Oryctolagus cuniculus: one gene and its partners. The protein of the gene in region 1 binds, or shares a complex with, the protein of each later gene. Links are inferred from orthologs where the notes say so. Each region holds a gene or a part of one and is shown in the gene's direction. Other genes may lie near its edges.

Region 1 (2,891 bases):
GACACAGGCCTGTGAAACGGTCCCAGCTGAATCCCAGACGGGAGCCGCACCCCTGAGTCCCAGCTAAGCTTTGGCTAGGGGCAGGGCAGCTAAACAGGAACCCACCCTCCTTGGCTCAGTGCCAACGTGAAACTCGAGGACTGGGTCCCCACACGCAGGGACAGAGGTTGGCGACGGAGGTCTCCAGCTCCGACACCTCTGCTGTGGTCAGAGCTGGGGCCGTGGTCAAGTGCAAGGGACATGGAAACTTCTGGGAGACAGGCTGGGGGGAGGCGTCACTCAGCTTCCACGGCTGCCCCATAAAACAGTGTGTGTCAGCGCCACCTCCTTCTCCTCGGCCCCGTCTCTCCCCGGGGTTGCCTGCGTCCCCCCTGGGGGACCAAACTGGACTGAGCACCCAGGTGGCCTGCTTCCCAGCCTCTGACAGAGGACAAGCTGAGTCAGGAAGGAGAGTGGGACCCTTCGTGAGCCCTGCTGCTCTGTGATGGCAGGCGGCGTGGAGGGGGCAGCTGACCCGGCCTGGAGAGCCTCATGGGAAGTCCTCCAACAAGTGGCAACAGGCCACCGACTTGAAAGGGAAAATTGTGCTGTGAAGGGGAAGGTGTCCGACGAACCTACTGGGTGACTAATTACGCAGGCCCGGCTGGAGCCTCGGAGGCCGCTCGTTAAACACTTCGTTAAGTAGCACCCTGATAGCTGCCACCCTTCTGGGAGCATTTGGGAGCTCGGAGGGGACCCTGCATGGCTGAGGCCCTGGGGCTGGAATTGTCTCCCAGTAGACTCAGGAAGAAGCCTGGCCTCACTTCTAAAAGTCTGGAGCTCCCCGGTCAGAGGGGGCAGGTGACCTGGCATGCAGAGCCCATAGGAGAAAAGCCCAAGGAAGCTGGGTGCAGGAGAGAGCTGCAGGGACTTGGCAGCTGTGTGGCCCTGAGCAAGTCTCACAGCCTGAGAGTGAAGAGGCTCCCACACCACGTCAGGGCTGCACACCTCACAGTCACGGTGGGGACTGCACCCAGTGAGGACTAGGGAAGCGCTTGGGTTACCTCGCCTGAAGGGGGGGGGCAGTGCACCTGGCCGGATTAGCAGCCCCATCTTCCTGCACCCACCTGAGCCCACAGGCTATGCCAAAGCCGAAGCTGCCAGGTGGCTGAAGCCGTCCTTACCTCCTGGCAGCTTCCTAACGCGGGTGCTGGACAGGAGGGGGCAGCCTGGAGCCCAGCAAGGTGCCCGCACAGGTGGGGCCCACGCCCAGATTTCTCCTGCTGACTGTTCCAATGACTCACCCCCACATCCCGGCCCTTTTACCTTTAAGGAAGAGCCGGAAAGGGTGTGGGGAGAAGACAGGGAGGCAGGTCCTGGGCCCCAGTCCCGCCCCCCCGCCCCTCCCCACCCTTGCCTAGGCCAAGCCACCCAGCCAAAAGGCAGGTTGAGAGCAGCAGAGGCACAGAGTCCAGCCTTGGTCCCCAGGCAGCCAGCTCGCCCGCCGCCCGTCTCTCTGTCCCCAGAGCCATGGAGAGAGCCAGTCTGATCCAGAAGGCCAAGCTGGCCGAGCAGGCTGAGCGCTACGAGGACATGGCGGCCTTCATGAAGGGCGCGGTGGAGAAGGGCGAGGAGCTCTCCTGTGAAGAGCGAAACCTGCTCTCGGTGGCCTACAAGAACGTGGTGGGCGGCCAGAGGGCGGCCTGGAGGGTCCTGTCCAGCATCGAGCAGAAGAGCACGGAGGAGGGCTCGGAGGAGAAGGGCCCGGAGGTGCGCGAGTACCGGGAGAGGGTGGAGAAGGAGCTCCGCGGCGTGTGCGACGCCGTGCTGGGGCTGCTGGACTCCCACCTCATCAAGGAGGCAGGCGAGGCCGAGAGCCGCGTCTTCTACCTCAAGATGAAGGGCGACTACTACCGCTACCTGGCCGAGGTGGCCACCGGCGACGACAAGAAGCGCATCATCGACTCGGCCCGCTCCGCCTACCAGGAGGCCATGGACATCAGCAAGAAGGAGATGCCGCCCACCAACCCCATCCGCCTGGGCCTGGCCCTGAACTTTTCTGTCTTCCACTACGAGATCGCCAACAGCCCCGAGGAGGCCATCACGCTGGCCAAGACCACTTTCGACGAGGCCATGGCCGACCTGCACACCCTCAGCGAGGACTCCTACAAGGACAGCACCCTCATCATGCAGCTGCTGCGAGACAACCTGACGCTCTGGACAGCCGACAACGCCGGCGAAGAGGGCGGGGAGGCTCCCGAGGAGCCGCAGAGCTGAGCCGCCCGCCGCCGCCCTGCCCCCTCCGGTCCCCGACGCCCCGCGGAGAGGACTACTACGGGGTGGGAGGCGCCCCCCTTCTCCCCCTCGCTGCGCCGCCCCGGCTCCCAAAGGCTCCCTGGAGAAGGGAGCCGCTGAGCCGAGGCCGCCCGGGGGTCTCGCTCTCCCTGCAAGCCGCGGGGCGCTCCCAGCCCCTGGCCGCCCCCCCACCCTGCTCTCCGCACCCCTTCCCCTCCCGCCTCGCCTCCCTCCTGCCCCTGCGGCTGAGCGCGGCGCCGGGCGGCAGAGGCGGGAGCTGGGGTGCGCGTGTGACTGTGAGTGAGCGAGAGGGAAAGCGTCTGTCTGCCGGCGGTGACCGGCTCGGCTCAATAAACTCCCCGTGACACTCAGTCCTCCGGTCTTCTGCAGTTATTGGCGCTGGGCTGGGAGATGGGTGGGAGTGGGCTTTGCACAGGCCCCGATTTCCCCCGCGGCTGGCCCAGCGGCCCGCGGGCGAGACCTTGCGGGGGCGCAGCCAGGTTCGAGGCGGGGGCCTCTCCCCGCTCCGGGTGGCCCCACACTGGTCTGGTCCCGGGAGGGGCGGAGAGCAGAGGCAGCACTGAGGCGCCTCCCTCGGGCTAGGGGAGCGGGTGCCT
Region 2 (4,073 bases), on another chromosome or scaffold:
CACACCTTAGGTTGTTTTGCTTCCAATCACACAGATGGGGCTTATCTTCCCAGTGCAGAAGCCTTCAGAGGTGTGATCTGGGCTGAGGCTGGGAGAAACAAAGTGCAGGTGTGGGCGGACAGGCAGCTGACAGTGACGGGCGAAAGAGGGGAGCTGGGTGGGGGAGAGGAGGCACCCCGCTCACTGGAGAGGGGAGTGTCTCTGGGACCTGTCTCTACCAGGGACACTGGTAGAGAGGCTTTGAACCAAGGATGGCAAAAGCTGCAGGAATTTGGCATCCAGTTTTACAGTGAGACAGACATTCCCCCCTTCCCCGGGGGGCCTTTTGTGGTGGAGCCAGTGGCAGAGCGACATGGGGAAGCCCCCACCCCTCACAGCTACTGATCTGTTCCTCTTAGCATTGTGCCCCTTCTCTGAGTGAGTGCCCTGGGCTGGGGTTCAGATCTTAGGATACAGGAGGCCTGCCTCAGGGCCCATGGCAAGGAATGACCCTGCTGGAGCCAGCAGCCACAAAAGGTGGCTCAGGGGTGGCTCTTAGAAACCTGGCACAGCCCCTCTAGAGGAGGGGAACGCCATGGGCCCTGGTGGCCTCCTCAGCGTTGGCAGGAGGGGGCTGGGAGAACGTGGGTCTCCCGCGGGGGCTCCTGGGAATGTGAGGTGACTCCGAGCAGAGCCTTGGGTCGCCTTTCACTCCCTCAGCCAGTTCCTGGGGCCCTCCGGGGGAGGTCCTTGGTGATCCTGGGGGCGGTGTTGACCCCACCAAGAGCTGGGTGTGTGCTGGGACTTTTCCCGAGACTCCTCATAGGCCCCCTCCCCACCCGCTTCGCGGGGCCCTCACTGGACGGTGCACAGAGCACACCACCCGCAAAGCCAAGGCCGGTTCACATCGGCCTCCAGCCCTCTCCGGTTCCCACTGGGGTCGGGCCTGGCTGCGAATTCTGGAATCTTCTATAACTAGTCTTTGGGAATGTTTGTGCCTCTGAGCCCCACCTGGAGGCACGAACCACATGTACAGAGCCGCTGGCGGGCCCAGGTGTGAGGGTCCACCCTTCAGGACACCTCTTCATCAAGACCCCGAGGGGTCAGCCAAGGGCAAAGGCGGGAGGCGGAGATTCGGAAAGACCTGCGAGCTCCAGGTAGCGTAGATCTCACCTGGCGTACGAAGTAAGTTAGGACGAGCCCCGCCCACCCTCCGGCGCGCCGGGGCGGGGCTCCGAGCCACGCCCACCAGGGCGGCCTATCGTCGTGTGGGGGCGTGGCTATGCTAATGAGGCCGGGAGAGCTGAGCGAGCCGCTGCTGCCGCTCCGCCCGAGCCCCGGCGAGGCGACCGCGGACCGCGGCGGTGGCCATGGCCCGGGCGCTGGCAGGTCTGGCCGCGGACTTACAGGTCCCGCGGGCCGCGCCCAGCCCGGACTCGGACTCGGACACCGACTCGGAGGATCCGAGTCCGCGGCGCAGCGCGGGAGGCCCGCTGCGCTCGCAGGTCATCCACAGCGGACACTTCATGGTGTCGTCGCCGCACAGCGACTCGCTGACCCGGCGGCGCGACCAGGAGGGGCCCGTCGGACTTTCCGACTTCGGGCCGCGCAGCATCGACCCCACACTCACTCGCCTCTTCGAATGCTTGAGCCTGGCGTACAGGTGAGGGCCGCTCCGGAGAGCCCCGCGCCCAGCTCAGGCCCAGCCCCCGGCTGCACCCCGAGACTCCAGTCACACTCCGGGCACCTTCTTTCCCCGGACCCGGGTGTCCCCTGACCCCGCTTCAGCCTACGCACCCCCCCCCCCATGGGACCTGTGCACCCCAGGCTTCCATTCAGGCCGCCGTTACCTCTTGCTCGGGCGCACGCACCTGCCTTCCGCCTCGACCTCCGCAGGCCCACGACGCGCTCCTCTCCCCGCTCCAGACAAACGCCAGGCATCGCTGGCGCTCCCAGAAGCTTGGGCCACCCCCGCCGGTGCCCGCCCTCCTCCTGGGACCACCATTTGGGCACCTGTCGATACCCCGAATGGCGCCCGTGGTGGCCGCAGTGCACAGCCCCTATGTCCGACGCCGACCCAGACTCTCGTCCATCGCGTCCCCAGCGCCCGGACCCCTCCTTCTTGACCTGCTAGGTCACGGGTGGCGGGAGGAGAGCGCCTGCCCCAGGCGGGCCAGAGAGGCTGTGCACGCCGAGGTCCCGCAGGAGGCGCGCGGGTCGGGTGCTGGGGGAGGCCTGGGCTTCCCCGCACCAGTCTGAGCGCCTCCCGTGGCCTGGGGTCCCTGCCGGCCGCTCCCCAGGACTTCTGCTCCACGCCCTGCGCCCCTCCGGAGGGCGCGAACCAGGGTCCTGGCCCAGAGCCCTGGAGCAAAGTTCCTCGGAGCTGAGGGACCAGGATAAATTATCAACCGAAGACCTTAGGGAAGCGAGGGGGGATCGGCGGGCCTTGATCTTTCCTCTGCAAATAGCCCTCTTCCTCCGCGGCGCCTCCTCCCCTTCTGAGAACCGCTGGCTACCGAGGGGCGCGGACCACGGAGGAGCAATGCCTGCCCCTGGCCGCATTGGCCCAGCCCAGACCCCATTGGCTGGAGGCGACGTAACCTTGGCCCACACGTTCTGGCCCCGGGCCCAGGTCATGTTGCAACCTGATAGTCCAGGACGCCAGACCTATGTGGAAAGTTCAAATTCCCGTCCCTTTCCCCCTCCCCTCCCTCCTCCCCGGACATCACGGGACTGCTTGGGACAGGGCATCTGAGGTCCCGGCACTAGGGATGAGCCCTTCTCCCCACACTCCCACCCACTGCCCCCACTTCATCTTCCTGCTTTGCAGTGCTATGCACCTGCTCTGCTGGGACTGGCACACCTGTGTCCCACCCCAGGCCAAAGGGTGATCAAAAAGGGGAGGGTGGGGGAGGGGGTGAGACAAGCCCCAGTGCACCCCAGAACTGCCACCCCTGAGTCACCAGCAGGAGGATGGAGCCAGGGGCAGCTGGAGTGGGCAGAGACTGTGTGTTTTCCCACTCAGAACATTCAACCTCTGGTCTTCCCCAGGGTGCAGACCCCAGCATCAGGGAGGGGAGTGGCTCAGTCTCGGAGGGGCCTTTGGATTCCCTGCCCCCACTTGGCGGAGGGAAAATGATGAAACTCAGACTGGGTCAGTGTTTAAGCCCTCAAAGCACGCCCCCCCCCCCCCAGTTATAGGGGTTTCCCTGGAACAAGAGATGGCAGAAGTCCAGTGTCCCGTGTGGGACAAAAAGTCCAGGAGGTGGTGGGAGGTGCTCTGGCCTGCAGAGGTGGCCGCCTTTGACCTCCCGCGGGGCAGTGTGGGCAGAGGCAGGACTTTCCAGGAGGCTGTGTTCCACGGCCTGCGTGGGCGGACGCCCGGGGGCTGGGTTGTAGGGGGGAGTTCTGGGCGCTCCAAGGAAGCACTTGTTCATGGTCAGAGCTGACTGCCCAATGCAGACACGGACCTCAGGCTGTCGGCAGGGGCGGGGCGGGGGGTGGTGGAGCAAGCAGGAAAGGAGACCCTACCAGGTATCGAGGGCGGGGAGGGGTGCGGTACCTGAACCAGAAGTCCCTACGCTTTTTCCCTCAAGGGTCTCCAATTTTTTGAGCCATCCCAAGAAGGTCCTTGCATTGGTTCTAAGCTTCTGGCTCCAGGCCTCTCCTCCCCCCCCCCCTAGCCTGTCTCCCCTGTCTCCTGTTGAGACAGATGGTGTTTATCTAACTCCAGGGGGGAAGGGGCTGGGGCGCTGGGCTTACCACTGCATTTGGGCAATGAGCCCTATCATGCCCTCCCCACCGCTGCTACCCCAAAGCAAACACAGGAGCTTGGAGACCAGAGAGGAGAAGGGACCAATGACTCACATGCCCAGGGGACAGTGGGAGAAGGGGCCGAGGAGTCAGACTGGCACCCCCACCCCTTGACCCCCCAGCATGGGAGACGGGCCCCTGGACACAGCGGGCCTGGCTTCCCCTGGCACTGGGGCCTCGGTGTTTCCCACTGAGCAAGGGGTGGAGGCGGGCACAGGGGACTCGCGCACTGCCCTGGCTCACAGCCCCTGAAGAAGGAGGGAGGGAGAGCCGGGCCGACT
Region 3 (3,500 bases), on another chromosome or scaffold:
CTAGTGACTCCACAGGCTACAGAAAATGAGATTTAGTTATAGGTTAAACATGGACCTCTTATACATGCCAGCAGGCATTTTTATCTTTGCTGTGAATTGTCTGAGCTGCAGGTAGTGCCTGCAGTGCCTCTCCTTTGCCTTATATTCTTGATTGTTGTTGTTTTTCATTGCACCAGCCAATTCAATTTTTTAAATTTATTATGCATTTCTGGTGCTAGACGCATGCCCTCAAATGCATTTTCTTTTCTTTCTTTCTTTTTTTTTTTTTTTGAAAGGCAGAGTGGATAGTGAAAGAGACAGAGAGAAAGGTCTTCCTTTTGCCGTTGGTTCACCCTCCAATGGCTGCCGCAGCCAGCGTGCTGCAGCCGGCACACCGCGCTGATCCGATGGCAGGAGCCAGGTACTTATCCTGGTCTCCCATGGGGTGCAGGGCCCAAGCACTTGGGCCATCCTCCACTGCACTCCCTGGCCACAGCAGAGAGCTGGCCTAGAAGAGGGGCAACTGGGACAGAATCCGGTGCCCCGACCGGGACTAGAACCCGGTGTGCCGGTGCCGCAAGGCGGAGGATTAGCCTAGTGAGCCACGGCGCCGGCCCCCCAAATGCATTTTCTGCTGAAGCTCCAGTGCCTGGAGGAGAGATTGCCACCGGGAGGTGTTCAGGACACCTTGCCCTAATGGATTCAAGCCCTTTGCTCACGTTTCTGCTGTTTCTTGATACAGGGTCGACCAAACTGCAGTCCCACGCGAGGCAGTCAGACAGCGTGTCCTCCCTGGCTTCGGAGAGGGAGTACATCACCTCCTTAGACCTATCAGCGAATGAACTCAGGGAGGTCGATGCCCTGAGCCGCAGGGGCTGCCTGAGTGGCCACTTGGAGCACCTGGAGAGGCTAGAGCTGCAGCAGAATGCACTGGTCAGCTTCCCACAGCCACTCTGCGAGGTACGCCCCCCGCCCGACTCCCAGTGCTGGAGGAGGCTTGCACGCCCCCCGCCTGACTCCCAGTGCTGGAGGAGCCCAGCACCGTCCAGTCTTCCACACCCCCCGCCCAACTCCCAGTGCTGGAGGAGCCCGGCACCATCCAGTCTTCCACGTCCCCTGCCCGACTCCCAGTGCTGGAGGAGCCCAGCACCGTCCAGTCTTCCACGCCCCCCAGCCGGACTCCCAGTGCTGGAGGAGGCTTGCACCGTCCAGTCTTCCACACCCCCAGCCGGACTCCCAATGCTGGAGGAGCCCGGCACCGTCCAGTCTTCCACGCCCCCAGCCCGACTCCCAATGCTGGAGGAGCCCGGCACCGTCAGGTCTTCCAGTCTCCTCCTGTGTCATTGCACAGGACGCCCCCTGTTCCTCTGCTGTCCACATGGGTATCAGTCTGGGTGGTGTGCAGAGACCCCTTTGAGAGCAAGCAGTGGAGACAGAGACTGGGTTAAAATGCAATTCTAGGTTCTGTCTCGGTAACACAGGGTATGTGTCAGCATCTGTCAGAGCTGCCTGCTGATGGCTCCATATAGTCGGTTTGAGTCCAGATAACTGAAGCTTTTAAAGTATTTTAGGGAGACGAGAGTTTAACCTGGTTTGGTAGTAGCTGTGTGACCATGAGAACTGCTATCTGCCTGTTTTTTTTTTTTTTTTAAATAACTCTTTTTTTATTTTTTGACAGGCAGAGTGGACAGTGAGAGAGTGAGACAGAGAGAAAGGTCTTCCTTTGCCGTTGGTTCACCCTCAATGGCCGCCGCAGCCGGCGCACCGCACTGATCCGATGGCAGGAGCCAGGAGCCAGGTGCTTTTCCTGGTCTCCCATGGGGTGCAGGGCCCAAGCACCTGGGCCATCCTCCACTGCACTCCCTGGCCATAGCAGAGAGCTGGCCTGGAAGAGGGGCAACCAGGACAGAATCCGGCGCCCCAACCGGGACTAGAACCCGGTGTGCCGGCGCCGCTAGGCGGAGGATTAGCCTAGTGAGCTGCGGCGCCGGCCAGCTATCTGCCTGTTCTGAGCCTTCATTTCCTCCACTGTAAATTGAGAGGCTCAGCTAACTGACCATGATGACTTTGTGTTTTAAAGATTTACTTATTTATTTGAAAGACTCAGTTACAGGAGAAAGGGAGCGAGAAAGAAGGAGACAGAGAGTTTGCATCTACTGGTTCACTCCCCAAATGGCCATAACAACCAGGGCTGGGCCAGGCCCTACTGAGGAGCTAGGAGCTTCATCTGGGTCTCCCATGTGGGTTCAGGGGCCCAGGGACCTAGGTCATCTTTCACTGCTTTCCCAGATATGTTAGCAGGGAACTTGACTGGAAGTCAAACAACCAGTACTGGAATGCCAATGCTGCAAGTGGTGGCTTAATGTGCTGTGACAAAACACTGGCCCTGATCATGAGGACTTTTTGGGGGGAGAGGGGTTGAAATTGTGTGTAACTTGGAGTGGGCGTTTATCCTGGAGGTTAAGATGCATGTGTGCTATGTTGGAATGCCAGGTTCAGTACCCAGCGCTAGCTCCTGACTTCAGCTTCCTGCTAACGTAGACCCTGGAAGGCAACAGTCATGGCTCAAGTGATTGGGTTGCTGCTACCCAAATAGGAGATCTTCATTGAGTTCTCAGTCCCTGCCTTCAGCCTATTTGTTGTTTGCATTTACAGCAATCAGCCAACAGATAGGAACAGTGTATGTGTGTGAATGAATAAAATAAAAAGTTATATGTAACTTAGGAATTAATTGTCTGCTCAAACTTCTAATCTTGAGAGAATTAAAGTATAGCAGTTTGTTGATAGCATAGTCCTCTGAATATGGACTTTCTCTTCTTTGTATTATGGGTCAGACGTTTTCAAAGCCAAAGATGATACGGCAAATTAAATTAATACAAACATTTAAATTACTAAGCTGATTTCTTGGATTGAATTGCAAAGTTTGTTAAAGAATAATACCAGTCTTTTTAAAATGAATCTTACTGCAAATGCATTTCTCTTTCTTCTTTTATTTTTATTTACTTATTTTTGTTTTATTTGAAAGGCAGATACAAAGAGAGAGAGACAGAAAAACAGAGTGAAGAAGGGACAGAGAGTGGGAGCGAGTGAGCCAGCTTTTATGCAGTGATTCAGTCTCCAGGGCCTGGGCCAGAGCCAAAGCCAGGAGCCAGGAACTCAGCCTGGTCTTCTCGCTGAGAATGAGGGATTCAAGTACGTGAGCCATCACCTGCTCCTTCAAGGTACACATTAGCAGGAAGCTGGAATCGGGAGTGGAGCCAGAGTTTGATCGCAGACACTCCAGTATAGGATGGAGGTTTCCCAAGGAGCAGCCACCCCACGTTTTGAGATGCTTTTAAACCAGTGTTGTGAGAGCTTTGAGTATATACCCCTGAAGCTTACATTTATCTCCACGCACGTCCAAGAGGCGTCTTTTGTCTCTCGTTCGCCTGCTTAAATCCTTCCCATTACCCAGGTCCCAGGGGAAAGTTCACTGTGTTGCCCTCTGCTTCTTTGCTCTGTCTTCCTTCCAATCAGGCCGG
Region 4 (3,500 bases), about 8.2 Mb from region 1:
GCAAGGCGGGCCATGACCCCATATGGGATGCCGGCGCTGCAGGCCTGGGCTTTAACCCACTGCGCCAGAGCGCTGGCCCCAGGATATCTGTTCTGAGCCCCAGCCTGGTGCTGTGGGGGGAGGGGGTGCTGAGATCCCTGAGCCCATGCCTGCCGCTGGCTGTGTGCAAACACGCCCTCTGCTGGCCACCTCCAGGAACCCCAGCTGCTTGGCTGCTCAGAGGGGGGGGCGGGATACCACCCATGAGGACGGAAGAGGAGCCAGTACCTTTGGGTCCGCTGACACAGCAGAGCTGGGCCACGGGTCACAGCGCAGGTGCAGAGTGACTGAAGGTGCCGGGCGGCCAGGGCAGGGGCTGTCGCTGGCATTTCTTCAACTGAGTGGAGTGGCGCTGGACAACAGGCTCTGAGCTGGGGGTCAGGAAGTGCCCCCCCCACCCCGGGACGTGGCGGTCACGGCCAACTCCTCTCTCTGGGCAGAGAGCTGCAGCTCCAGGGTTTTGTGAACATGGTGACCGAGCTGAGCGAGAAGAGCAACAGCCAGCTGGCCTCTGTCTACGAGGACCCCAACCGCCTGGGCAGGTGGCTCCAGGTAACACCCACCTGTGGGCGGGGGCCGGGGGACCGGACGCGTCCTATACATGGGGCTCTCGCGCAAACCTGAGTGCCACAGGGGGGGAGGGGGGGAAGGACTCGCCTGAGCCATAGCCACAAGGGATGAAAATGGACTCCACCCTCCTGCCCGATCTGGAAGGGCCCTGGTCCTGATGCCTGCAGCTCTGGGCTGCCAGGACCCGGCCACCGCTGCGGGGTCGTGCCTGACCCCGGCACAGCGGGAGGGCTAGAGCCCAGCCTAGCCTTGGGGTCTGGGGTGTTGTCCTGTCTTCACAAATACTCGTGCAATTGTGTGCTGAGCGCACGTGAGAAGAGGGGGACAGGTTCCGCACCTGCTGTGTGAGGTTAGCGGTCTAAGGCTGGGGGGGTGGGGTTAGGGTTAGGGTTAGGGGCATGTGTGAGTGACTCGAGCCAGCTGGGCAGGGTGGGGCGTCGGGGAAACCTTCAGTGAAGTGAGGATGGGTGGGGGGTCTTCCTGCCGGGATTGGGGCAGGGGTGGGGAGGGGGCGGAGCAGAGGCTGACTTGGATGGTGATGTGGGCGTCTACCAGGGGATTCCGGGCCTGGAAGGGCCAGTGTGGCCGGGTCCCAGAAGGAGGGGCAGGCAGTGCTACGTTGAGCACTAGGGACGTTGTAAGGCCAGGTAAGGACTAGAAATCCACAGCAAATCAGGGCGACACAGAAAGGTATGAGCCAGGGGAGGGAGAGGTCGTGACTTAATTTTTTTCTTTAAAGTTTTGTTTATCTGAAAGTTAGAGAGGTAGAGACAGACTGACTTCTTCCATGGCTGGTTCACTCCCCCAAATGGCCGTAACAGCTGGGGCTAAGCCGATCTTAAGCTAAGAACTTCTTCCAGGTCTCCCACGCGGGTGCAGGGCCCAAGCACTTGGGCCATCTTCCACTGCTTTCCCAGGCCACAGCAGAGAGCTGGATCGGAAGTGGAGCAGCCAGGACTCGAACTGGCGCCCATATGGGATGCTGGCGCTGCAGGCAGGGGTTTTACCCACTACGCCACAGCATCGGCTCTGTGACTTAACTTTTTAACAGACCCCTCTGGCTCAGGGGTAGGGAGTGGATCTCGGAAGCGGGCAAGAACAGAAGTTCGGTTGGAAGGCCTGGCAGTGACTTCTCGGGCGGCACCCGGGATGAGTTGACTTGGCGTGGGTATTTTTGAGATAAAGCCAGCGAGACGTTGGCACACTGGGCGCAGACATGGAGAGAAGGAACCTGCTTACGGAAGGGTCCAGAGGAGGCCTCTGAGAAGCTGGGTTTGGAGGGCCGAGCAGGAGCTGGCGGGAAGTGGGGGTTCTCGTCGCTCCCCTTCCTGGGCAGCTGTGCGGCTGGCGGGCCGGACCCGGGCAGGAAGGCGGCTGGGGTGAGGGGACCTCACTGTCCGTTCTCTCTCCTCCCCCAGGACGAGATGGCCTTCTGCTACACCCAGGCTCCGCACAAGACGGTTTCCTTGATCCTCGACACCCCCAGGGCCACCAAGCTGGAAGACTTCCCCATGAAATACTCGCTGGTGTGGGGCTCGGTTGGGCTGATCCGGGTGTGGTCCGACCTCATCGGCCTGGTGCCTGGCCAGAGTGATGGGCCCCGAGGGAGAGGGTGCGGGTGCCCTGTGGTGGGGGTGGGGTGCTCCCTGGGAGTCGGCATTAGGTGGCAGGTGGGGGCTTCCGGCCCCTCCCTCCCTCCTTCCTCAGGGCCGGGTCTCCTTCCAGAGCCCTGGCGTTGGCTACGTGATCCAGCACACCGAGGACCACAGGGTGGCCAGTATGGATTCCATCGGGAACCTGATGGTGTCCCCGCCCGTCCAGGTGCAGGAGAAGGAGTACCCCCTCGGCAGGGTCCTCATTGGCAGCAGCTTCTACCCCAGGTGAGGCAAGGGGCCAGACCCCTCAAACTGCGGGGGAGGACCCTGGGGTTCACCTGGCTCCACCCTATTCCCCCTCCCCCAACCCCCCCCCCCCCGTGAAGCTCAGCAGGGGGTTTGCTCTGGGGCGTCTCTTACCCCGTGAGATAGGAGGGCTCCTTAGTCTAATCCATGCAGGAGACTAAAGTTTCTTTGGTTATGGGACTTCGGCTGGTCCTAGCGCCCCCTGCAGGTGGTGTGTCTATAACATGCGTGGTTGACCTTCACCATGACTGTAGGTCTAAGACCAGGAGACGCCTGGGTCTTGTGGGCCTGTCTGTCAGGGATCACTAGGCTCAGTCTTGATTTGGGTCCGAGAAAGGGATTCTTGGCCAACCAGCCCTTGACCGGCCACTTCTACCCAAAGGTCAGGGCAGCCGGGCCCCAGGTGGCAGCCTGACCCTCTGCAGTAGGCAGGCAGCTGACCGGGACCCTGCTGGATCACGGCTCTTCCATTTCCTTCCAGCGTGGAGGGCCGGGCCATGAGCAAGAGCCTCCGGGACTTCCTCTATGCCCAGCAGGTCCAGGCGCCCGTGGAACTCTTCTCGGACTGGCTGATGTCGGGCCACGTGGACGAGTTCATGTGTTTCGTCCCCACGGACGACAAGAGTAGGAGCAAGAAGGTGTGCGTGGGCAGCTGGAGGGCACATCTGCCATGTCGCCCGCACCTTCTGCTGGGGACTTCCAGAATCTTCTAGGGGCGAAGGGACCTGACCTCTGACCCTCGGTGTTTGTCCCCTAGGGCTTCCTGCTGCTCCTGGCCAGCCCCAGCTCCTGCTACAACCTCTTCAAGGAGAAGCAGAAGGAAGGCTACGGGGATGCGGTGCTATTTGAGGGTGTTAGAGGGGACCAGCTCCTCTCTAATGGTGAGCAAGGGGTCCCTCCGGGGGGGAAGGGCCAGGTCCCTTCTGTGGGGGTCCCTGTAGACGGTCATGCTCTCCTCGGTCCTGCTTGGTAGCAGGAGCCCAGGGCAGC
Region 5 (4,182 bases), on another chromosome or scaffold:
CTGGACTGGAAGAGGAGCAACCGGGACAGAACCGGCGCCCCAACCGGGACTAGAACCCGGTGTACCCGCGCTGCAGGCGGAGGATTAGCCTAGTGAGCCGCGGCGCTGGCCTGAAATGTATTCTAAGAGCAACGAAGAGCCAAGGAATAGTTGGCAGCAGACCACCAGTGTAGGCTCACTCCTTTAGAACCACACAAAGCCTTTTCACCTATATCAGCCCTGTAGGTAGTGGAAGGGGTCTAACACGTTCTCCACTGAGACGCCCCCAACTCGACTCCAAACAATGTAGGTTCTCCTCTTCCAGAGGACTGACTGACGGGTTTCAAAATGTCACTGAACACTTCTGAAAGTGTAAATCAGGCATGCCCATTTTTAAAAGGAAAAAGCCCAAGACTTGATTCAGATTCTCAGAGAAGTTCTGTAAAGATTAAGATGCACCGCTTAAACATTTCTCAGCTTTGGGATCCTGGCTATTGTTCCATGGACCAGCAGGACACAAATGCCAGCTCAACCCAGGCTAGTCCTCTGCACTGTCTTCTCTGTGAAATGAAAACATGATTGCTGTGAGGGCTCAGGGAGCGATACTTTAGTGTTTAATGAAAACCACGAGGTGTCTACCCAACAGTGGTATTGGAAACCAACATCTGCAGCCCTGGAACCGAGGGACAAATTTATACACTGCACCTTTAGCATTCCACAAGCATTCCCTGGAGAAAAAGATCTGCCTTGCAGGCGTTCACGATCTAACCAAAATGCCGGGGAAGATAGAAAACGCAAAACAGACCAAGTGAGGTTCTCTGGAACCTGGGAACCGCGTATGATGTCCCACTTTCCAGGGCAGGGAAGCACTGACTGGAGTTGGTTGTCTGATGTGGGTTTGCGCAGGCTGAACCTGAACACCCATTCTACCCTTGCTGTGGAAAGGCCGGCTGGAAACATCGCAGTCGCTTCTGCCACCTGACAAATACTGAGCAGAGGGAAACCTATCTTTGTGCAGTCTGTTTACTATACGTTGCACGCTCCGAGCAGCCCTTATCCTCATGGTCGGGAACAAAGTACACACACAGACCCAGACACACACACACACCCCTTTCCGAAACCAAGGCCCGGGGACTCCAAGAGAGGGGTGGGATCCCTCGCGGCGCGGCCACACAATGGGGGCCGTCTCAGCACAGCTCGCCTCCCACCCCCACCCGCAGGCCCCATTCGGCCAGGGTTCGACTTCTCGGGCCCCACCGCCCCTCCCCTGCAGCCCCCGGGAGCGCAGCCACAGCCGGGCCCGGCGCCCTCCCTCGCCCTCCCTCCTTCACCGGGAGCCGGAAAACCCGGAGGGAACCGGCCCAGCCCGGCGGCGCATGCTCAGTAGCGCGCAGGTTCAGTTCGCTAGTAGGAAGCTCCAGCGCTGCACCGGCGGCGGCGGCGGCGGCGGCGGCCGCGGTGCAACCCGGCGGCCGGAACCCCAGCGGCGACTTCGGGCCCTTCCTCGCCCCCGAGCTCCCTCCCGCTCTAAGACTCTAGCGTGTCGAAGTCCTCGCTGGGCGAGCGGGCGCCGCGGCAGGAGCGCCCCTCCACACGCCCTCCCCCTGCCGCCAGCTCCTCGGCCGGGCAGGCCGGGCCCGGAGCGGAGCGTAGCCCCGGCAGCGGGCGGGCGGGCGGCGGCCGCGGCGGAGGGCAGCTCGGGGCGGCGCCGGCGGGCCGGGGAGGGGCGGGGGGCCTGGCCCCAGGGCGGTGGTGCGGCCGGGATGCCGCCGCCGCCGCCGCCACCTCCGGGCCGTGTTCGCTCTCCGCGGCTGGTGCCGGTGTCGGGCGGGTGGCCGCGCGCGGGCCTCGTCCCGCAGCCGCCTCTCCGGGGCTAGCCCGGCCGTGCGGCGCCCCGAGGGGGCCGGGCCGTCCGGAGGGGCCGCGGCCCTGTTCCGCGCTGCGAGCTCGCCCTCTCGCGGCTTCCCGGCCGGGCCGTCGCCGCCGCCCCTCTCCCCGCCCAGAGGCGCCCCGGGGGCACCATGCAGGCGCAGCAGCTGCCGTACGAGTTTTTCAGCGAGGAGAACGCGCCCAAGTGGCGGGGGCTGCTGGTGCCTGCGCTGAAGAAGGTGAGGAGCGCGGGGAACCCCGCTGCCCGGCCGCAGCCCCCGAGGCGGGCGCCGGGTCGGAGCCCGGCCGGGGAGGCGGGGCGCGCGCGGGCAGGGCCGCCTTTCTTCCCGGTCCCTCCGCAGCCGGCGGGCGCTCGGCGGGGACGTGCCCCGGTGTGTGGGAAGGCAGGCCGCGGGGAGAGGGTCGGAGACAGCAGTCGGGGGAGCCCCGGGGTTCAGCGGAGGTCAGCGCAGGCCACCCCTCCTCCTGGCCGGTCTCTTTGCCGAGCTGCTGTCAGCCTCCCGGTTGAAGTGTCCGGGACGCTCCTTTCACTGGCCCGATAACGCTCTGGCCATCATGTTTGCTGCGAGCTTGCCTGCCGGCGGCAGCATGGCCTGCTTTGCTCCCTCTGCGTTCTCCTGGGCACCCCCTCCGATTAACGAGGAGCTGCTACACATGCCAGTATTTTCAGACTTATTATTTTTTGACGGTTGAAAATCTTGGTGATGTCATTTGGGTTAGAATTTTTAACCTCTGTTTTGTATGTTTACGTTGGCCACATTGTTATCTAAAGTTATATAGGAAATGTTGCTACATTTTGTTTGTAAAGCAACGTTGTGACAAACACTGCACGTTAAAAACATCAGAAACTGGTGTGTGAGTTTAAAAACAACTGGACTGTTTTCGTTTCCTTTTCTTCATTTCTTCCTTTTCTGGTGGGGTGGCTTTATGCTTTCAACTGTGTGTCTAAATCCCAGTTTCTTGTTGCCCAAAGAATGTTTCATGAGATCTGGTTAAAATACAGCTTTGCTCCTCCTGAGGGCTGGGGTTATGGTTAGTCTTTCATGGTAAACATTTCCACTTGAACACAGTGTCTTAAAAGGTGTCTGAGTTTATCCAAGGCCAGAAGCTTTTACTTTCTTTTTTTGCCCTGGTCTCCCCCTCCCCCTTTTGCAGTCTTACAGTGGAACCTACTTAGTTAGCAAAATCTGCTCATATATTAAGGATTGAACTACCAACTTTTCCCCCTCAAATGTTTGGCTAGTCATTAACATCTCTTTGGTGTTTTCTAATAAAGTGTGTTTTGTGTGTGTGTGTGTGTGTGTGTTATCGGTATACTTCATTCATTAGAACTCCTACCAGGTTCTCCATCTGTTTAGTTGTGCTTTGCCTGCAAGTGTGTCTTCTTGTGATAGAAGGGGAGTAGGAGGTCACAGTGGTGCTAGAAGCTGGTGTTCCATCAGGGTAGAGGAAAATAAAACAGTTGTCTGAAAACATACCCAAAAAGCCTCATGAAGCATTACTCACTTGGGGTCATTTTGCTTAGAAGCTTACAGGTCCCATCCCAGGGGAACCACCGGTCTGTGGGTTGAGGATCCTTGGAAGTAGTGCAAAGAATGGCATTAGAATTGGCAGACTCACTGTCTGCCACGTGGGGGGCCCTGCTGGGATCTGTCCTCAGAAGAGTTTTGTTTGGCTGGCACAGTGTTGTTTATTGTTAAGTGTTTACACATGGGAGATATTACACAAAATCTGAATTCACAGCTTTTGTTGAAGAAAAATCTCTCCACTCAGGTCCCACGTGAAAAGCCAGCCAGTGACCTGCTGCGGGTGCATGGATAGCTGCCGTCTTTAGACAGGTGCACATTGGCGTTTACAAAGTCCTCAGCAGTCCCCTTTGCTTGTTTACATAAAACAATGCTTAGGTGTTTATTGACTTGAAAGTTTGGGCAGTGGAGAGAGAGGGAGAGTGAGAGAGAACACCTTGCTCTCCTCTGCTGGCTAACTTTCCCAGTGCTCATAATGGCGAGGACTGAAGCTGGGAGTTGGGAGCTCCAGGTTTCCCATGTGGGTGACAGGAACCCGATTACTTGAGCCGTCACAACTGCCTCTTGGAGTCCATATTAGCAAAAGCTGGAATCAGAAGCCAGGGCCTGATATTGAACCCAAACTCTGGCTTAGCAGCTAGGCCAAACGCCCACCTCTACACAAAGGGGCTTTTGACTCTAACAGAGTTGCCCTTGGAATAGAAATGATGGGAGGAGGTAGAAGTGTACAGTCTGACTGATAAATGTATCTTCCAATTCTTATCCAACTGTCTACCAGCAGGGAGTC
Region 6 (3,500 bases), on another chromosome or scaffold:
AGGTGGCCCTGTCCACGCTCCAGCGTCAGGGCTGTGGGGCTCCCAAGGGGCCCCAGCTTGGTGCCAGCTGGGAGACGGGGATCAAGGGCCATGGAGACCAACATGGGCTGTCTCCTCTCCCGCGAGGAGCTGGCCTGTGTACACGCCGGGGGCGTGGGCAGTGGGCTTCCTGCTGAGAGCCGTGGGGGCTGTGAGGTTCCTGCTGTGTCCCGAGCCCGGCCTGGGTGGCCTTGGCTCTCAGCGCACCGCACCTGAAGCTCTTACCCTCTTTGGGTGGGGGAGGCCCCGGTGGGTGGAGCTCGCTCAGCAGCTCAGGGTCTCGGAAGAGAAGCCCACCCTGGCGGGCAACCGCCCGCAGCCCCGACTTACCCTCTGAAGTATCAGAGCGAGCGCGGCCGGCTCCGGCTTTTGCTGGGTGGTGTTCCTCCGGCCAGGCCATAGTGCTCGGCCCCAGGCTCTGGGTGACCCGGGCCCGCGGCATCCGTCTGCAGCTCGGCCACCATCCTCCTCAATGGCTGGGCGTGTCTATCCCGGGTCACAGGGGCAGGTCCCCTCCTGGCTGCCGGGGCCTCAGCAGACACAGAAGAACAGCCCCCTCTCCGGGCCTTTCTTGGGGCTCAGAGCGCCCCCTGCTGGCCGCCTCCTCGGCTGCGGGGGGGGGGTGGCGGCCTTGCCCACGGGAACCTGCTGGGTGTCCTTGCCAAGGTGGACGCCCTGGTGCAGGCCCCAGAGCCCGGCTCACCGCAGGCATCGTCCAAGGAGCATGTTCTGTGTGTCCGGCTGCGGTGGGCATTTTTAATTTCTCTCCTGGGTTTTGGGTCTCTGGTAGTTATCTTAGTGGTGTTGCTCCAAGACCCCCGAAAGGCCCCACCATGTGGTGCGCTTGGCGCCCACGCGTTTCCCGAGTGACGCCCAGAACCAGTCTCCCATGCACTTTCTCATGGTGGAACTTTCCACTTGGGATTCTGGAACGTTCCCGATTTCTGAATTTGGGGTGATCCGCCCGTGCCCCCTTCCCACTCTGACCCTGTGATCCCCCCAAAAAATTGCCAATCCCCCTTGTCCTTCTCTTCCCACCCCTCCCTCCCAGACCCCAGGGGCTGGCCTCTGACCGCTCTCCCCACTCTTCTCCCCCCTCCCCCCGCAGGCTATGGCCACGCGGCACCCGGCACAGACGCGGGCAAGGCCTTCTGCATGTTCTACGCGGTGCTGGGCATCCCGCTGACGCTGGTCATGTTCCAGAGCCTGGGCGAGCGCATGAACACCTTCGTCCGCTACCTGCTGAAACGCATCAAGAAGGGCTGTGGTATGCGCAACACGGAGGTCTCCATGGAGAACATGGTGACCGTGGGCTTCTTCTCCTGCATGGGCACGCTGTGCATCGGCGCGGCCGCCTTCTCCCAGTGCGAGGACTGGAGCTTCTTCCACGCCTACTACTACTGCTTCATCACGCTCACCACCATCGGCTTCGGGGACTACGTGGCGCTGCAGAGCAAGGGTGCCTTGCAGAAGAAGCCGCTGTACGTGGCCTTCAGCTTCATGTACATCCTGGTGGGGCTCACGGTCATCGGAGCCTTCCTCAACCTGGTCGTGCTCAGGTTCCTGACCATGAACAGTGAGGACGAGCGGCGCGACGCCGAAGACCGGGCGTCGCTGACCGGCAACCACCACAGCCTGGTCATCCACGTCCCCGACGAGCCGCGGCCAGGCCGTGCCCGCGCCAAGGGCGAGGGCACCGAACTGCAGTCCGTGTGCGCCTGCTCGTGCTACCGCTCGGTGGCCACGCACCAGAACTCCTTCGGTGCCAAGCTCGCACCCCAGAACTTGCAGTCCATCTCGTACAGGATGGAGGAGATCTCCCCGAGCACCTTGAAGAACAGCCTGTTCCCATCACCCATCAGCTCCATCTCCCCTGGGGTGCACAGCTTCTCCGAGCACCACCGGCTGATGCGGCGCCGGAGGTCCGTCTAAGGTGCGGGGCGGGCGCCAGCACGGCCGCGTCCCCTGTGTCAGAGTCGACGTAAGTTCCATCGGCCCCGACTCGTCTTTCCCTATTTATTTGTGATTTACCCTTTGTCGTGCCGGCCATCTGTCATCGCCTTCTCTCTCTCTCCTCTTCTCGGCTTTATTTCTTCCCTACCTTTCCAGCCAGGCAGAACAGGCCCAGGGGAAAACCAAGGCCCCTCCTCCTCCGAAACCCGCACCCAAGCACGCAGGCATGGGTCGTCCTTTCCCGCAGAGTATGCCTTATACGCCCCCTGCCCCTTCCCCACCTGAGGCCACTGGCCCGGTCCCAGGGTGAGATGGAGCCCACGCAGACAGAGCTAAGAGGATTTTAAACCCAAAGCTACAAGCCCAGCCAAGAGCCTGCTGTCGCCCGCCCCAAGTGGCGTCTCTGCCCAGCGCCTCTCTCTCTCCTTCCCCCAAGGACTGGGGGGTGTTTGTGTGTGTGGTGGGGGGGCACGCTCAGATGGTGCAAGTGTGTGTCACGGGATGAGACGGAAAGTTCCAGAATTTCTTCATCTCTCCCTCCACTCACCTGGTTTCATAGCCTACCTTTGGCTGCTCCCAAACCAACACGGCACAAGCAGAACCCACGGGGCTTTTGAGTTCTCATAGTTGCCAAACCAAGCATGCTCCGTTAAAGCCGTCTCTCCCAGACGCGTCTCGACCGTAACTTAAAAAAACGCTAGGCTCTACATTGTATTCACGGATTTTCAGGGTGGGTGGGAAGGGTGGGTGGGGATGAAGACAAAGGGTCACTTAGCTTGCCAGTTCCAACACTTACAGCATGCACTTTGTGAAACTGGTTCGCTTCACCAACATATGAGAACAGCACTTAGAGACGGTTGGACGGTCCAGAGCCAACCGTACGGAGTTATCACGGCCATTTTTCAGTTGTGTCATCTCCGGTTCCCATGCTTGGCCACACGCGCCTGGAACCCCAGGGGCTCGCATCCCTCTCATTGACGATGCTGGCGATTCGGGGCAGCTTCGTCCCGCAGGGGTAGGAAGGGCAGCTTTGGAATGCTTGGCTGAGAATGGGCATTTGGGACGTGTGAGAGACTTTCTAGAAGAGTGGCTCACATTGCATTCGATTGCTAAGTAGGGGAAAGGTCACGTTGGTCTGAGTTTTGAGGCTGGGTCTTGGCTTGCTGGGGACCTGTCAATCTCACGGGAACGCCCCCTGCGCCACTGTCAGCAGGGGGTGGTCCCAAAGGGAAGCCTGTTCCTCTCCGAGGGGCTGCATAGACTGACACTCGGGGGTCCAGCGTCTCATGTTAACCCTCAGCTTCCCCCGAGGGTGCTTTGACCTCCTGCCTCATTGCCATCTGTGCCATTTCTAAAACTCACCCATTCCCCCAACCTCCCACGCCTTTCTCGTAAGCCGGAAATCCGCGGCTCTTGGATGAAATGGGCTTTGGTTGTACTGCTCAGGAGGAGACTTTGCTGGCCGACAGGATGTCTTAAGAGGAGACAGCACCCAAATGCCACCCGCC
Region 7 (3,500 bases), on another chromosome or scaffold:
GCTCAAGATGAAACCTGCAGTAGCTGAGTGGAGCCAACATTTACAATTAAGAGACCACTTCACTCATATCCTTTCTACCAAACCCCATTGCCTCTATGTCTAACTTTTTAAATAATAGAATCTTACTGTGACCTTTCAATTTGTTACAGAGGCCAAGTGGCTAAGTTTTCCACTTTCTTTTATCTCAATAAACACCATTTTAAAAGGATTTCAGGGCACATGTTTGGGAGAGCCGTTAAGATACCACTTGGGATGCCCACATCCCATATTGGGGCCTGGGTTTGAGTCCTGGTTCTGTTCCCAATTCCAGCTTCCTACAAATGTGCACCATGGGAGGCAGCAGATGATGGCCCCCGTGGTTGGGACCCTGTCACCTAAAGGGGAGATTTATTCTGATTTCCAGACTCCTGGCTCTGGCTTGGCTGAGACCTCGCCGTTGCATGCCGTTGGGGAATGCACCCGTGGGTGGAAGGTCTTTAAGAGTCTGCTTGTCCGTCTGTATATATTTCTCTCTCTCTGCACTTCAAATAAAATAGAAAAGTAAATAATTTTTTTAAAAAAAGAAACTCATGTTAAATATCCGTGAGGACAAAATATCTAGTTAAGAAATTTGATCTGGTTGAAAGTCATCATCCTCTGTGACTATTAGAGAGAAACGTTTCCAAGATGTACTGTATTGTGTGGGCTAAATTGTTTTTATTTGGGGGCTTTTTTATTTTTGCTTATTTGTTGTTTATCACTGGTAGTTTGTAGGGATGAGGTAGTGTAAATATGACTTCCTCTCACACATTTCTAGAGCATACAGCCCGAAACCACGCATACTTAAAGATGACATTGTATTTTCTTCTCAGATGGAAGAAAGATAACCACGTCTCCATTCTATCTATATAGCCATGTCTACAAAACCTATAGAAAAGGCCAACAGATTGAAACTGGTTTTCGGCTTTTACTTCACATGGGTAAAGTGACCAGGGGAAAGTTTTTCAGAGCTTTTGATGAAAGCTGTGCATCACCGTGGGCTCCGATGTGGAGCCCAATGCCATAGGAGATTAACTTTGCATTGTGAAGCGGTCTTTCAGTAACTTGGTCTGCCTCTCTTCCCATACAGGCTTCTCCACCCTGTCCCTGGCGGACCAGATGAGCCTTCTGCAGAGTGCGTGGATGGAAATTTTGATCCTTGGTGTCGTATACCGATCTCTATCGTTTGAAGATGAACTTGTCTATGCAGATGATTATATAATGGACGAAGACCAGTCCAAATTAGCAGGCCTTCTTGACCTCAATAATGCTATTCTGCAGCTGGTAAAGAAATACAAGAGCATGAAGCTGGAGAAAGAAGAATTTGTCACCCTCAAAGCTATAGCTCTTGCTAATTCAGGTTGGCATATTGACATGATTGTTGGTGCATTTTTTAATATGTCAGTTTTTACCCCTTCCCTTAACTTCTTCAGGGATTTGCTAGACCTAGTTTGTAAATTGTGTGTGAGTCAGCAAAATTATAATCAGTGTAGCTTTCTAGTGAAAAGTTTGAAATAAGAAAAGTACACTTACAAGAAATAATTTTCAGTTTTCTCGCTGATTGAAAGCTGTGAAACTTTTACCATCCAATGCATTTATTAATTTGGATCTCAGCGAAGCACAAGCTCATGTGCAAGTAGCATAAATGGACCCTTTAGGGATAACATTTTCTTGTCTTTTGTGCTCAAGTCAAAATAAGTGAAGTAGAGCTATGCATTAACCTCTTTTTTTCTCCTGGAAAATGAAAACTTTGCTACTGGGAAGCTATATTTAGTGTTGTTTTCAATTTTGATAATCAAAAGGCGCAGTTCCCCTAACATTCTGGATGGAATTCTCTAGAAGTCAAATTCTGCTGAAGGAGCATTTTCCTGAAAGGCCCTACCTGTGCAGGAGAGGTTAAGAATTATGGGAATAAGTGTTCTTTCCATCCGCACTGAAATGTGCTACAATAGGAAGCAACCTCCAATAAGTAAAAATCGTTGGTGCTTTGTTGTTTTTCCCTTTGTGCCTCTCCTACTGCTTTATTGTGGTCTTAAGTCTCTCTCAGCATTTGCATAAAGTTCAGGATAGATCCCTCTTTAATGACGTGCCGATCATTAGATACCTGCGTGTCAATAGCACGCTCTGATGCTATGTACCATTGACAGTCACACCGTGCCCCTCCATCTGCTTTTGTTTTGACCCTATCTTTGAACTTTATCTTGGTTGCCGGCCAGTAGTTTTCCCTTTAATTACAAGAAGGAAACTGTCAATAAAATCTGTTAAATGGGATGCAATGAGTGGCTTGAATGGGCGGACGGCTATTTGTTCAAATTCTGCAGCATTCAAGGTATTGACAGTTTGTTTTCTGGGGCCATATGTGACGATCAATCTCAGGCTGGGCTCAGCCGCGCTGAAAAATGAAAAACCAGATTGCTTTTGCTTACTTGTGGATGACGACTTTGTGATTTGGCGCGGTCCTAGTGAGATGAGACCTTCTGCCCAAATTGCCCCCATGAGAGCCAGGGGCGCGTGACTGTTTTTAGAAATAATTTTTAATTGATTTTGTAATTAACAGTTCATCTACAATATTGATGCATGAATCCTTGGACTGATAGGAGGGAAATTGTTTTCAACAATGAAGTTGTACTTTCCTATTTGTCTTCATAATAGAGTTTAGCGTTTCACAGTTTTAATTGTGAATATAGCCCTCTTCCTCACCATGCAGTCACTCTTCCCCTCCCACTTCATGTGAAACTGAAAAATATGATTCTTTGGGACAAATGGCATTGTTGTTATAAACCCTCAAGAACCCCTTGCTCTATTCTCTAGAAGATCAAAGTGGGAACTGGGATTGAAATTTCCTGAGCGTTTACAAGTTTGTAGGAACTTCATGTTACAGCATCTCTCCCAATTAGATGGAAGGTTTTTACAGCAGTGTTTTGGGGATGAATTTTTATGAAGTGATTCCAATTTCAAACACTTACTTTAAAAAATTACATTGAAACATTTACTAGGATAATTGTTTTTGAAATAGACTGAACATGGTTTTATAACTTTTGTTTCAAATTGCTTTCATACATTAGCAGTTGATCATAAATGCTGAGCAATGCTGAAACTGTCATCAAAATTGCTGAAACTTTGTAAACATTGTAATTCTAGATGTTAGATGTATGCTTTATGGCTAGGTAGTGTACAGGACCTCAACGAGTAGCAACATTTGTGTCTCTGTGGCTTAGAGGTATAATCACTAATATATATTTTTAAAAATTTATGTATTTGAAAGTCAGAGAGAGAGAATGAGAGAGAGAAAGATTGAGATTGAGATTCTATCTTCCAATTTATTCCTCAAATGCCCACAGTAGCCAAAACTGGGCTAGGTTGAAGCTGGGAGCCAGGGATTCAGTCAAGATCTCCTATGTGGGTGTCAGGGACCCAAGTACTTGAGCCATCACCTGATGCCTCCCAGAGTGTATATTAGCAGGAGTTGGAATCAGAAATGG

The links.
Region 2: the proteins of SFN (region 1) and MLXIPL are in contact, whole or in part, in a crystal structure (PDB 8BTQ), measured with the Homo sapiens proteins. The link is inferred for Oryctolagus cuniculus from reciprocal best matches to the Homo sapiens genes SFN and MLXIPL. Residues at the interface, in NP_006133.1 of Homo sapiens: Gly53, Arg56, Ala57, Arg60, Gln67, Arg129, Val178, Tyr181, Glu182, Lys214, Thr217, Leu218, Gln221, Leu222, Arg224, Asp225, Asn226, Leu229, Trp230; in NP_116569.1 of Homo sapiens: Arg117, Ile120, Arg121, Asn124, Trp127, Arg128, Ala129, Trp130, Tyr131, Ile132, Tyr134.
Region 3: the proteins of SFN (region 1) and LRRK2 are in contact, whole or in part, in a crystal structure (PDB 5MYC), measured with the Homo sapiens proteins. The link is inferred for Oryctolagus cuniculus from reciprocal best matches to the Homo sapiens genes SFN and LRRK2. Residues at the interface, in NP_006133.1 of Homo sapiens: Lys11, Glu14, Glu39, Asn42, Leu43, Ser45, Val46, Lys49, Asn50, Arg56, Arg60, Phe119, Lys122, Arg129, Tyr130, Pro167, Ile168, Gly171, Leu174, Asn175, Val178, Tyr181, Glu182, Asp215, Leu218, Ile219, Leu222, Asp225, Asn226, Leu229; in NP_940980.4 of Homo sapiens: Lys907, Ser908, Asn909, Ser910, Ile911, Ser912, Val913, Gly914, Glu915, Phe916, Tyr917, Arg918.
Region 4: the proteins of SFN (region 1) and PADI6 are in contact, whole or in part, in a crystal structure (PDB 4DAT), measured with the Homo sapiens proteins. The link is inferred for Oryctolagus cuniculus from reciprocal best matches to the Homo sapiens genes SFN and PADI6. Residues at the interface, in NP_006133.1 of Homo sapiens: Lys49, Arg56, Arg60, Lys122, Arg129, Tyr130, Gly171, Leu174, Asn175, Val178, Tyr181, Glu182, Leu222, Asp225, Asn226, Leu229, Trp230; in NP_997304.3 of Homo sapiens: Phe443, Tyr444, Pro445, Ser446, Ala447, Glu448.
Region 5: the proteins of SFN (region 1) and SOS1 are in contact, whole or in part, in a crystal structure (PDB 6Y44), measured with the Homo sapiens proteins. The link is inferred for Oryctolagus cuniculus from reciprocal best matches to the Homo sapiens genes SFN and SOS1. Residues at the interface, in NP_006133.1 of Homo sapiens: Glu14, Asn42, Ser45, Val46, Lys49, Arg56, Phe119, Lys122, Arg129, Tyr130, Pro167, Ile168, Gly171, Leu174, Asn175, Val178, Glu182, Leu218, Ile219, Leu222, Asp225, Asn226, Leu229, Trp230; in NP_005624.2 of Homo sapiens: Arg1158, Pro1159, Glu1160, Ser1161, Ala1162, Pro1163, Ala1164, Glu1165, Ser1166.
Region 6: the proteins of SFN (region 1) and KCNK9 are in contact, whole or in part, in a crystal structure (PDB 3P1P), measured with the Homo sapiens proteins. The link is inferred for Oryctolagus cuniculus from reciprocal best matches to the Homo sapiens genes SFN and KCNK9. Residues at the interface, in NP_006133.1 of Homo sapiens: Lys49, Arg56, Arg60, Lys122, Asp126, Arg129, Tyr130, Glu133, Gly171, Leu174, Asn175, Val178, Glu182, Leu222, Asp225, Asn226, Leu229, Trp230; in NP_001269463.1 of Homo sapiens: Lys369, Arg370, Arg371, Lys372, Ser373, Val374.
Region 7: the proteins of SFN (region 1) and ESRRG are in contact, whole or in part, in a crystal structure (PDB 8BJG), measured with the Homo sapiens proteins. The link is inferred for Oryctolagus cuniculus from reciprocal best matches to the Homo sapiens genes SFN and ESRRG. Residues at the interface, in NP_006133.1 of Homo sapiens: Asn42, Ser45, Val46, Lys49, Arg56, Arg60, Arg129, Tyr130, Glu133, Gly171, Leu174, Asn175, Val178, Glu182, Leu222, Asp225, Asn226, Leu229, Trp230; in NP_001429.2 of Homo sapiens: Arg175, Arg176, Arg177, Lys178, Ser179, Cys180, Gln181, Ala182.

The regions. Positions count from the first base shown.
Region 1 is NC_091438.1:144,640,943-144,643,833, reverse strand, and holds SFN (14-3-3 protein sigma), read left to right. Parts: upstream 1-1,406; 5' UTR 1,407-1,509; coding exon 1,510-2,256; 3' UTR 2,257-2,391; downstream 2,392-2,891. UniProt on the Homo sapiens protein: Adapter protein implicated in the regulation of a large spectrum of both general and specialized signaling pathways. Binds to a large number of partners, usually by recognition of a phosphoserine or phosphothreonine motif.
Region 2 is NC_091450.1:50,437,612-50,441,684, forward strand, and holds the start of MLXIPL (carbohydrate-responsive element-binding protein), read left to right. Parts: upstream 1-1,273; 5' UTR 1,274-1,349; coding exon 1,350-1,642; intron 1,643-1,850; exon of another isoform or gene 1,851-2,608; intron 2,609-4,073. UniProt on the Homo sapiens protein: Binds DNA as a heterodimer with MLX/TCFL4 and activates transcription. Binds to the canonical E box sequence 5'-CACGTG-3'. Plays a role in transcriptional activation of glycolytic target genes. Involved in glucose-responsive gene regulation.
Region 3 is NC_091440.1:131,827,533-131,831,032, forward strand, and holds part of LRRK2 (leucine-rich repeat serine/threonine-protein kinase 2), read left to right. Parts: intron 1-721; coding exon 722-939; intron 940-3,500. UniProt on the Homo sapiens protein: Serine/threonine-protein kinase which phosphorylates a broad range of proteins involved in multiple processes such as neuronal plasticity, innate immunity, autophagy, and vesicle trafficking.
Region 4 is NC_091438.1:152,861,203-152,864,702, reverse strand, and holds part of PADI6 (protein-arginine deiminase type-6), read left to right. Parts: intron 1-479; coding exon 480-591; intron 592-2,027; coding exon 2,028-2,135; intron 2,136-2,334; coding exon 2,335-2,489; intron 2,490-2,991; coding exon 2,992-3,148; intron 3,149-3,267; coding exon 3,268-3,391; intron 3,392-3,500. UniProt on the Homo sapiens protein: Structural constituent of cytoplasmic lattices, which plays a key role in early embryonic development. Cytoplasmic lattices consist in fibrous structures found in the cytoplasm of oocytes and preimplantation embryos.
Region 5 is NC_091433.1:163,753,187-163,757,368, forward strand, and holds the start of SOS1 (son of sevenless homolog 1), read left to right. Parts: upstream 1-1,382; 5' UTR 1,383-2,000; coding exon 2,001-2,087; intron 2,088-4,182.
Region 6 is NC_091437.1:164,934,677-164,938,176, reverse strand, and holds part of KCNK9 (potassium channel subfamily K member 9), read left to right. Parts: intron 1-1,147; coding exon 1,148-1,971; 3' UTR 1,972-3,500. UniProt on the Homo sapiens protein: K(+) channel that conducts voltage-dependent outward rectifying currents upon membrane depolarization. Voltage sensing is coupled to K(+) electrochemical gradient in an 'ion flux gating' mode where outward but not inward ion flow opens the gate.
Region 7 is NC_091444.1:30,751,155-30,754,654, reverse strand, and holds part of ESRRG (estrogen-related receptor gamma), read left to right. Parts: intron 1-1,108; coding exon 1,109-1,378; intron 1,379-3,500. UniProt on the Homo sapiens protein: Orphan receptor that acts as a transcription activator in the absence of bound ligand. Binds specifically to an estrogen response element and activates reporter genes controlled by estrogen response elements.